Linked DNA regions of Bombyx mori. The protein of the gene in region 2 purifies or fractionates together with the protein of the main gene of each other region. This does not show direct contact. Links are inferred from orthologs where the notes say so. Each region holds a gene or a part of one and is shown on either strand. Other genes may lie near its edges.

What was found. The genes of interacting proteins can lie anywhere in the genome.
Region 1: the proteins of DNA-directed RNA polymerase III subunit RPC4 (region 2) and DNA-directed RNA polymerases I and III subunit RPAC1 purify together in Homo sapiens (affinity purification with mass spectrometry; 6 studies listed by BioGRID and IntAct, counting the BioPlex papers as one, with this or other methods). This does not show direct contact. The link is inferred for Bombyx mori from reciprocal best matches to the Homo sapiens genes POLR3D and POLR1C.

What each region holds. Positions count from the first base shown.
Region 1 is NC_085131.1:5,578,889-5,583,087, reverse strand, and holds the start of DNA-directed RNA polymerases I and III subunit RPAC1, read right to left. Parts: upstream 2,806-4,199; 5' UTR 2,208-2,805; coding exon 2,154-2,207; intron 2,075-2,153; coding exon 1,774-2,074; intron 1,393-1,773; coding exon 1,273-1,392; intron 801-1,272; coding exon 618-800; intron 522-617; coding exon 294-521; intron 1-293. UniProt on the Homo sapiens protein: DNA-dependent RNA polymerase catalyzes the transcription of DNA into RNA using the four ribonucleoside triphosphates as substrates.
Region 2 is NC_085113.1:12,563,575-12,567,531, forward strand, and holds the start of DNA-directed RNA polymerase III subunit RPC4, read left to right. Parts: upstream 1-1,153; 5' UTR 1,154-1,266; coding exon 1,267-1,427; intron 1,428-2,426; coding exon 2,427-2,560; intron 2,561-3,382; coding exon 3,383-3,495; intron 3,496-3,864; coding exon 3,865-3,957. Other genes in the region: uncharacterized protein LOC101743779, read right to left, coding at 1-47, 536-617. UniProt on the Homo sapiens protein: DNA-dependent RNA polymerase catalyzes the transcription of DNA into RNA using the four ribonucleoside triphosphates as substrates.

The DNA of each region.
Region 1 (4,199 bases), on a different chromosome or scaffold from region 2:
TTACTTTTTTAGATTTTTGGGTTTGTAAATTAAACCTTAGACACAGCCCACTTAGTTTCTCACCAGATCATCTCACTGGGTCGCGATTCCGATCCAGTGGTAGATTCTGAGAAGCACTGCCCTTGCTAGGGCTAGTGTTAGCAAATTCGCCAGACTGAGCCTGTAAGCTTACCTACACGTTAGGTGAAGCTAGACCCCCTTGAGGTAACCAGCATTGATAGCAAAAAAACTGTTGCACATGTAATTATTTGTGGCATTTTTATGATTTCATTAATTTACATATGGCTACTTACATATGAAATGATCCCGAACTCTACTTAGGATTGCTGAATCTTTGATTGTGTCATATCTATAAACATTACGACTACATGCATCATATCTTGCATCTTTCACATATGCTCGGTTTTTAGAGTCAATACCAATAACACCTGGTGAGAAACAACTCTGCAACAGTGTGGCTTCACTGTCACAAACTTCACGAGTCAGTGTTACCTCTGGCAGCAATCTGTATGTAGCTGTTGCTGTAGAATAAAATGGATATGTTAGTTAAACCATTTTTTTTAATAATTAAAATAAGCTTATCTCATTTTATAAAATATTCATAAGAAGGGACTAACCAACAGGTGAAAATTTTGCATGATCCTTTCCTATGCCCTTCACGGCAATCATTTGAAGGTCTATTTCATGGCCAGGTCTCATTTTTGATATAAGAATATCCTTATGTACAGGACCCACATCAGCTTCTTTATAAACTGTAGCTTGGTTGCCAATTGGATGCCACTTCATATGGGATGAATAAACTGTATAAACATATTTGTAATTAACTAAGTATTAAGAATAACAAAATCATCTAGCATTATATAAAAAAACTATAAATATAAATTTCATAGATTAGTCCATAGTTCAAAAAATCAGCTCTGTGTTCTGTCCTATCAGCATACAACAATACCACTCTATATCTTACCATGGTGTTGTTACAGGTGGCTAAAAAATTTACCAGAAAATGGCAGTAACATTCTATAAGTTTGGTATTGGTAGTCATAATTTATCTTGTCCATTTCTACTGCAAAGGAATCCAGTTTGTAAGGATAGCTGTTTTGCTATGGAATGGAAACTTCAATCCCATATCTTAATGTGAGTGAATCACCTATATCTATGCACTGCAGCAAGCTTAATACCAGGGCCATATGCTGATCTGCGATCTACTGTTATATTAAAAACATTAATAGGCTGTTTGTTACACATTATTATATTGATATACAGAAAACTCACTACTATGATTTTCATACAAATCTTCAGCTCTATATGAATCTTTTGGTTGTGACTTGCTATTGGTACATTTTACTTTTAGTGAAAATTCTAAAGTGTTGAATTCTGTTCCTTCCGTGTCTTCTGAAAATAAAATTTCAAATTATTTACAAGAGCTGCTCAAACAATTCTTTTATTTTCTGTTAACTTTTTTTATTTCATCATAGTTACAATAATAAAAATGGACCAGGCATCTTATCCTTTAGGCTGTGAAAACTTTACTGATTATGAGATATAAATGTTTATTGAGGTATAAAAGTGAGTATTTAATAACATCTTGCATTCCAGCTCTAAATTGTCAATTTTAGGATACTAGAAAAATGAATATTTGTGGTTTTATTAGTGTACTAGTTTACGTAATTGATAAATAAAAAATAATTAGACAACCAATTTCACAGAAAACAATCATCTTCCAAAACGAATGCCCACATATGGTCTCGGCTTTGTAATAATTTGTACACAAACCTTCAGATTTATATTCAAACAATCTTGGATCAGCTTTGAGAGGAATCAATCCTAATCTGTGTGCTAAAACTTCATCCTGTATTATAGAAGTGTTGTTCTTGATCATTACTTTTTCAATAGCCATACTAGGAACTTCACTTAACATGAGTCTCCGGAATGCGTTCGCAAATGCTGGCTGGATCCCAATCAAGTCAAATTCCATTTCGAAATTGTCCATTCGTACTACAACTATCTTAAACTTCTTCACAAACTTTTTGAAGTCCCATGTTTCATCGTCTAATCCGTAATCTTCGGGTGCATTCTGTACGGGCAAAAATTATTAGGTTATGATCATGTGCATTTTTATCGTTGTAAATAAGTCTTGCAATTTAAAGGAGAACCTTAACACGGAATTCTTCAAGAAAAACTCGGGGTTTTTCATCGAATTTAGGCATTTTTGCAATATTTTACTAATTAATGTAAATAAGGTTTTATCTTATTTCACAGGTATACAGTAACGTTTACTGTATATAAAGTTTGTCGCATATTTTTATACAGATATAATTGACAAAATTAAATATTTCGATGATTTTACGTAAGGTAGTGATCATAGATTATACACTTAAGTAGTGATTTTAAGTAATTTTTAGTAGGTAATTTAAACTTTGACTATGTAGTAAGTAATGTAAGTTTGTACTTATGTAGGTACATAGGTACGGTACCGGTAAAATGGGGCGATTAGGGATTGACAGGCGAATCGGGAAAAAACCGGGAAAATCTTTCGACGCTCAATATAAGTTTTATATTCGTTGCAAAATCTTCCATTTTTTGTAGTTTAATAGTAGAATGTTGAAAGTTCACAAAACAACTCTGAATATGCATGATAATAGCTGCTAACTTATAAAAAATCGCGTTTCAAATTAACTTCCTGTGGTGGTCATTATTTTAGTGCTAGAAACTTTGCTCTCTTTTATTTATTTGATAATAATAGAAGACGACTATGATTTATAAACGTTATTTAGTGTTTGAACCAGCATATATATTAAAGGTAAGTCTCAGTTGTTATTGCTTTTAATGTATTTGATTAAATAAAAATACATGTAAAAATCTGTTGTTTTTGGGGTTATTGGGGACGTCTTAGGTACAAATAACAACGAAAAAGGGGTCAATTGGGATGAGAATACGTGAAATGGAAACGACCTAAGTATAAATAGGTACAGGTTTGTAGGGTTGTCTATGTAGTTATAACAATATTTTTTGAATTTGTTGGTAAATATCTGGTTTATTCGAAGCGAAATTGGGAATAAGTCTTTATTTGAAATAGATAAGCAATTTAATATAAGTAAGTCGATTTTGCAGAGACATGTAACAAGATCAATGAAATCTCAAGGTGGACAAAAATGTCTAAGTAATACATAATAAAATATTTAATATTTGTTCAGAGTGGGGGTATTCATCTGATTAATCCATGGAATAACCGACACACCTAATCTCTTAACCCAGATAGAAATATCAGCACTGTCGATTGCACCTATAATTGAGGTGATGTCTGCCATGTACTTTTGTCAGTTTTTCATTTTTTTTTATTGATGATCACTTTGTTGGTGCAACTAAATAAATAAATAAATTAAAACTATATATAAAAATAAAAATAGTGCCAACCCTAGCAAATTTCTCATTACATCCCAATTAACCGCAATTTTCGGGTAAATAGAGATTACACCTATTTTTGCATTTTTTGCTTAAACTGGAATGCTAGTTGCATAATTTTAAATTAGACAACAAAGATGCCCCCAAGACTCAATCATTTTGATCCTGATATAGCATTATATACATCAACAACTACCTTAAAATTGCTCATAAAGTTGGAATTTGTCCCTAATCGCCCCATTTTACGGTACGGTACCGTACCGTATTGGAAAATAAATAGAGGTTTTTACTTGTTTGAATTGACAACTCGCTGGGCAAAAGGATCAAAGACCATACAATCCTAATTTTTGTTACAGTAAGTGAAGTCGTGTCTGTTTTATGTAAATCGAAACAGAAAGAAATGAAAAAAGTGTGTGTGTCCGCTCCGACGCACGACTGGAGTTTACTGGATATAAAAAATTAAACGAAACAATACGAGAAATAGTTCTATATTACGACAACACGATACACTACAGATTATTAACAAATTAACGAGACACAAAACAAACGACTAACAAATATATGAAAATACAATAATGAGAGAAACGCGCGATCAGTACGAGGCTTTGTGGCGGACTGCCGGCGCAGCAGCCCGGCGTCACCTGCGATAACGCGGCCGCGCGTTGGCTCCTGATTGGCGCGCGCACGCATCACGCAATCAGGAGCCAATCAGGCGCATAACGCATTTCGTGTGACATGCTAGTACGATTTTGGTCCCCATAATTTTCATACCCCGGGCCTATATATGTAAATCGATT
Region 2 (3,957 bases):
TTCATTTGGTTTTGTGGGGCCTGCTGAGACTACTTTGCCCATGTTTTCTGAAAATCACTTATTAATTGAAAAATTACTACATAACAATTGTTCATGAACATATTTTTTGCCATTTTTTCCATCAGAAATGTTTAAGGTGATGATTTGCGAAGGTTGCGCAGTTACGAAAATTGATGAGCATAGCCGACGACTGGCTTCAATGGTGTATATTGGGGGAGACCTACGTCTAGCAGTTTGGACAGTTCTAGGACTTTGGGCTGATGATGATTTCTAATTGTAACAATATGTCATTGTAGGCAAAACATTCGCATTGAAAAATGAAAATATAGTCTGATGGACATAGTTTGTAAGTGTACAGCTGCTGCTAGATACATTACGACGTGAACCGACTTAAAAGAAAAAGTAAGTTATATAATTAAAACATAATGCAATTCATTCAAGCTGCGGTTTCCTAATGAATAATGTGTGGTCTCATTTAGCTCAGATATATTATTTTTTAAGAGTGGTAAAACTTTTTAAAATAAATTATATTTACCTATATTATGCAGAGGTTGCCGGGAAACATTTTTCACGGCCTGTCTAGTAAGGTGATCTCCAAAAATATCAAACAGAGACATTGTGGCTAAATCGAAGGTTAATTTCGATAGACTGATTTTTTCTATATCGTCGTTATTTGCTATTGTTTAACGAATTTCAAACGGCTACTAAAGTTCAGTGTTCACTCATTTTCAAAACAACGACGAATCAACGGCAAAGAACATATGTCATAGATTATAAACTAATAGAATGACCAGCCCTTGGCGAATAATATATTAATAAAAATATGTAAAAACAATATGGTAAAATATATCACAGTACCGTATCATAAATAAAATGTAAAAAGCTAAGAGTATTATTCACCCGTTTTAAACTATATTGTACAGCAGAGTACAAGGGAAAGTGGAGCCTAGTCAAGCTAGTAGAGCTCTTTTGTGGAATTTTATTTGAGAAAGGGACCCTGAGAATTGAGCCCGAACTAATCCCATCTTACGTTCTTACAATATAATATAATACCTATGTGTACAAATCAAAATCACTGGAAATATTATGTACATTTTACACAGTAGCATTGCGCCAGCCATTTTCCAAAAGTCTTGGCTGTATAGCATGCGTTCCTTTTGTATGTCAGCTGCAGCTGATGTATGTTTGAAAACATTTTTATAGGTTAGACAAATAAAAGAGTTTCTAAATTTCAAACTAATATATTACTTTGAAAAAGAAATTGCAATGTCCGGTGATAAATCATCTAAACCGAATGGACTGGGTACAGATCCCATGCAGAGGCTCGCTTCATTAAAAGCACCCAGAGATCTTATGCTTGGAGGAGTCAAACCAAACAAAAAAGTCTTCACACCTAACTTGAACGTAGCTCGGAGTAAAAATAAAGGGTGAGTTACATTCAGAATGTAAGAATACATTACAGAGATGGTTATTTTTTGCAACCACCACAATATCGCCATCAATTCTGGACACATTGGGCACTCGTTAAGAACTTCGCTTTCGTGAGGCACTGACCGAGCAATGTACTCCGTTGACGGAATGTGAAACTGCGAAACCATTATGCCTTGGGTGGATTAGTTATTTCAGTTATCAGCCACAATAACAAAATGTTCTACAAAAGTTCACAGTGCACATACATGACTTACTTGCAATCTGAAACCGCTCTATATTCTAAAATAATAATAACCCTAAACCATGGCTGCTGACAACTAACCGTAGTCAAGTTTGTAATTTTTAATCTTTGACTTAAAAAATAAGAAACATTGATTTCAAATGAAATATAATACCTCTAAAAACCTAAAATGCCAAGCTCACGTCATCCCCTAGTTAAAAAAAATCTAGCATCATCGTAATAATCTTAAATACTGCAACATTATGTTTGTATGCAATCATCATCATAATCATTATTTCCTATTAGCCTCTGCTGGGGTGTAGGGCTTGAATCAAATTTTCCATTTATATCGGTCTTGAGCAGTCTGTTCTAGCTCCTCCCACGTCATGCCCAAGACACCTAGCTCCTGTTCCTGTTTGTATGCAAGTTATAAAAAATCACAAATGTGGCTTTTAATCCTTTTACTACAGGAGGCTGACACGCTTCTGAACTGTCAGCATCCCTGTAAATATATAAGGTTGATTGTTTTTATTTATATATTACAGAGCCAGGTAAATGGATACCAGTGTCTTTAGACCACTACCACCACTTTAGCACACCACGAATGCCATGATTAACGTTTAGATATGAGGTTGAAGCCTCAATTATATTGTGGAACAGCTGCCCCACCCTTCAAACCGGGATGGAAATAGTGCATTACCACCATTAGTATAAAATTAGAGTTATTAATATATTTTGATCTAGTGTAATGAAATTAATTCAAGTATAATTATAGACAAGCAACAACAAGTGCCAAAGAAACAAGGAATGAAGAGAAGAACAGCAGGGATTCAAACAGGAACCGGAATTTTAACAGGAATCAGAGAAATGGGCCAACACTAATAAAATCTGCTGGTGTCTTCTCTGAAGGTTAACATTTTAAATAAATAATTTATTTGTCTTCTATAATCATTAGCTACCCATCAAAATAACTGATAATTTATTACAATATTATATTAACAATAATATACAATATTTTTGTTGTTGCTAGTCATAGGCATAATTAAAATTTACAGTTTAATATCAGGTTATGACCACAAAACCTCCAATGTATTCCAAACATTGGAAATAAAGTATTTATTATGTTTAATAGAGTTATTGATGATAAGAAAGTAGAATTACATGTAAAAATAATAATATATATAGTCAGTTTATTTTGCCAATGATGTTTGTGCGGTAATCACTATTACATCTATCAGAATACATTTTTAAAACCAAACTGTTTTGTTGCAATTGAGATGATACATTGACGTTAGTTCCTATAGATTTCACCTTACACAATGAATGAATTCATTTTCATGCCATAATTAAAAGCTATTGTTAAAAGTGAAATGACCATGGCTTCATACAACCGTATCAATATGTTAGTTTAAATTGTTTGAATGATTCATCATTTGTTTTTATAAATCCACGAAACATTCTTCCAATCTCCCGTACAACTGAGTTCTGTGAATCATAGCTACTAAATTAATACAAAATCATTAATCAATCATTAAGTAATGATGTTGAATTCAATCAATGAATGACTCTATTTTTTTTAATGATAACATTACATTCAGAACTTCACAATTCAGACAGGAGTAAGCGTTTAAAAATAGCTGAGCTTTATTCAGTTTGATTACTCCTAAAAATTAAATGAATACTGAAAATTAAGCCAGTCAATAATTAAAAACTCAAAGTAATTGATTACAGGCATCGGTTCATCAGAGAGGCATTCTTCAAGTCGCTCGTACTACGGGCGGGACACAGAAAAAACTACAAACATTATGAAGAAGCCAGCTATCAGAGTAAAGGATTTCGTGAAGGTATTTACATTTAAATTACATTCATCGGTTAATTTTGTTGTAATTAAAATCGTGTAATAAAAATAAAAACCGCAAAATTGTAATTTGCGTAATTACTGGTGGTAGGACCTCTTGTGAGTACGCACGGGTAGGTACCACCACCCCGCCTATTCCTGCCGTGAAGCAGTAATGCATTTCCGTTAGAAAGGTGGGGTAGCCATTGTAACTATATTGAGACCTTAGAACTTATATCTCAAGGTGAGTGGCGCATTTGCGTTGTAGATGTCTATGGGCTCTAGTAACCACTTAATAGCAGGTGGGCTGTGTGCTCTTCCACACATTAAAGCAATAAAAAAAAGTGACCTAAATCCACTATCTATATCTTTCTAGATCGACAAAGAACTGGAGGAGAAGAAGATAAATATGATTTTAAGAGGAGGCGATACTGACGAGCTGGAGTCCATCGACTTTAAGGACATCCTC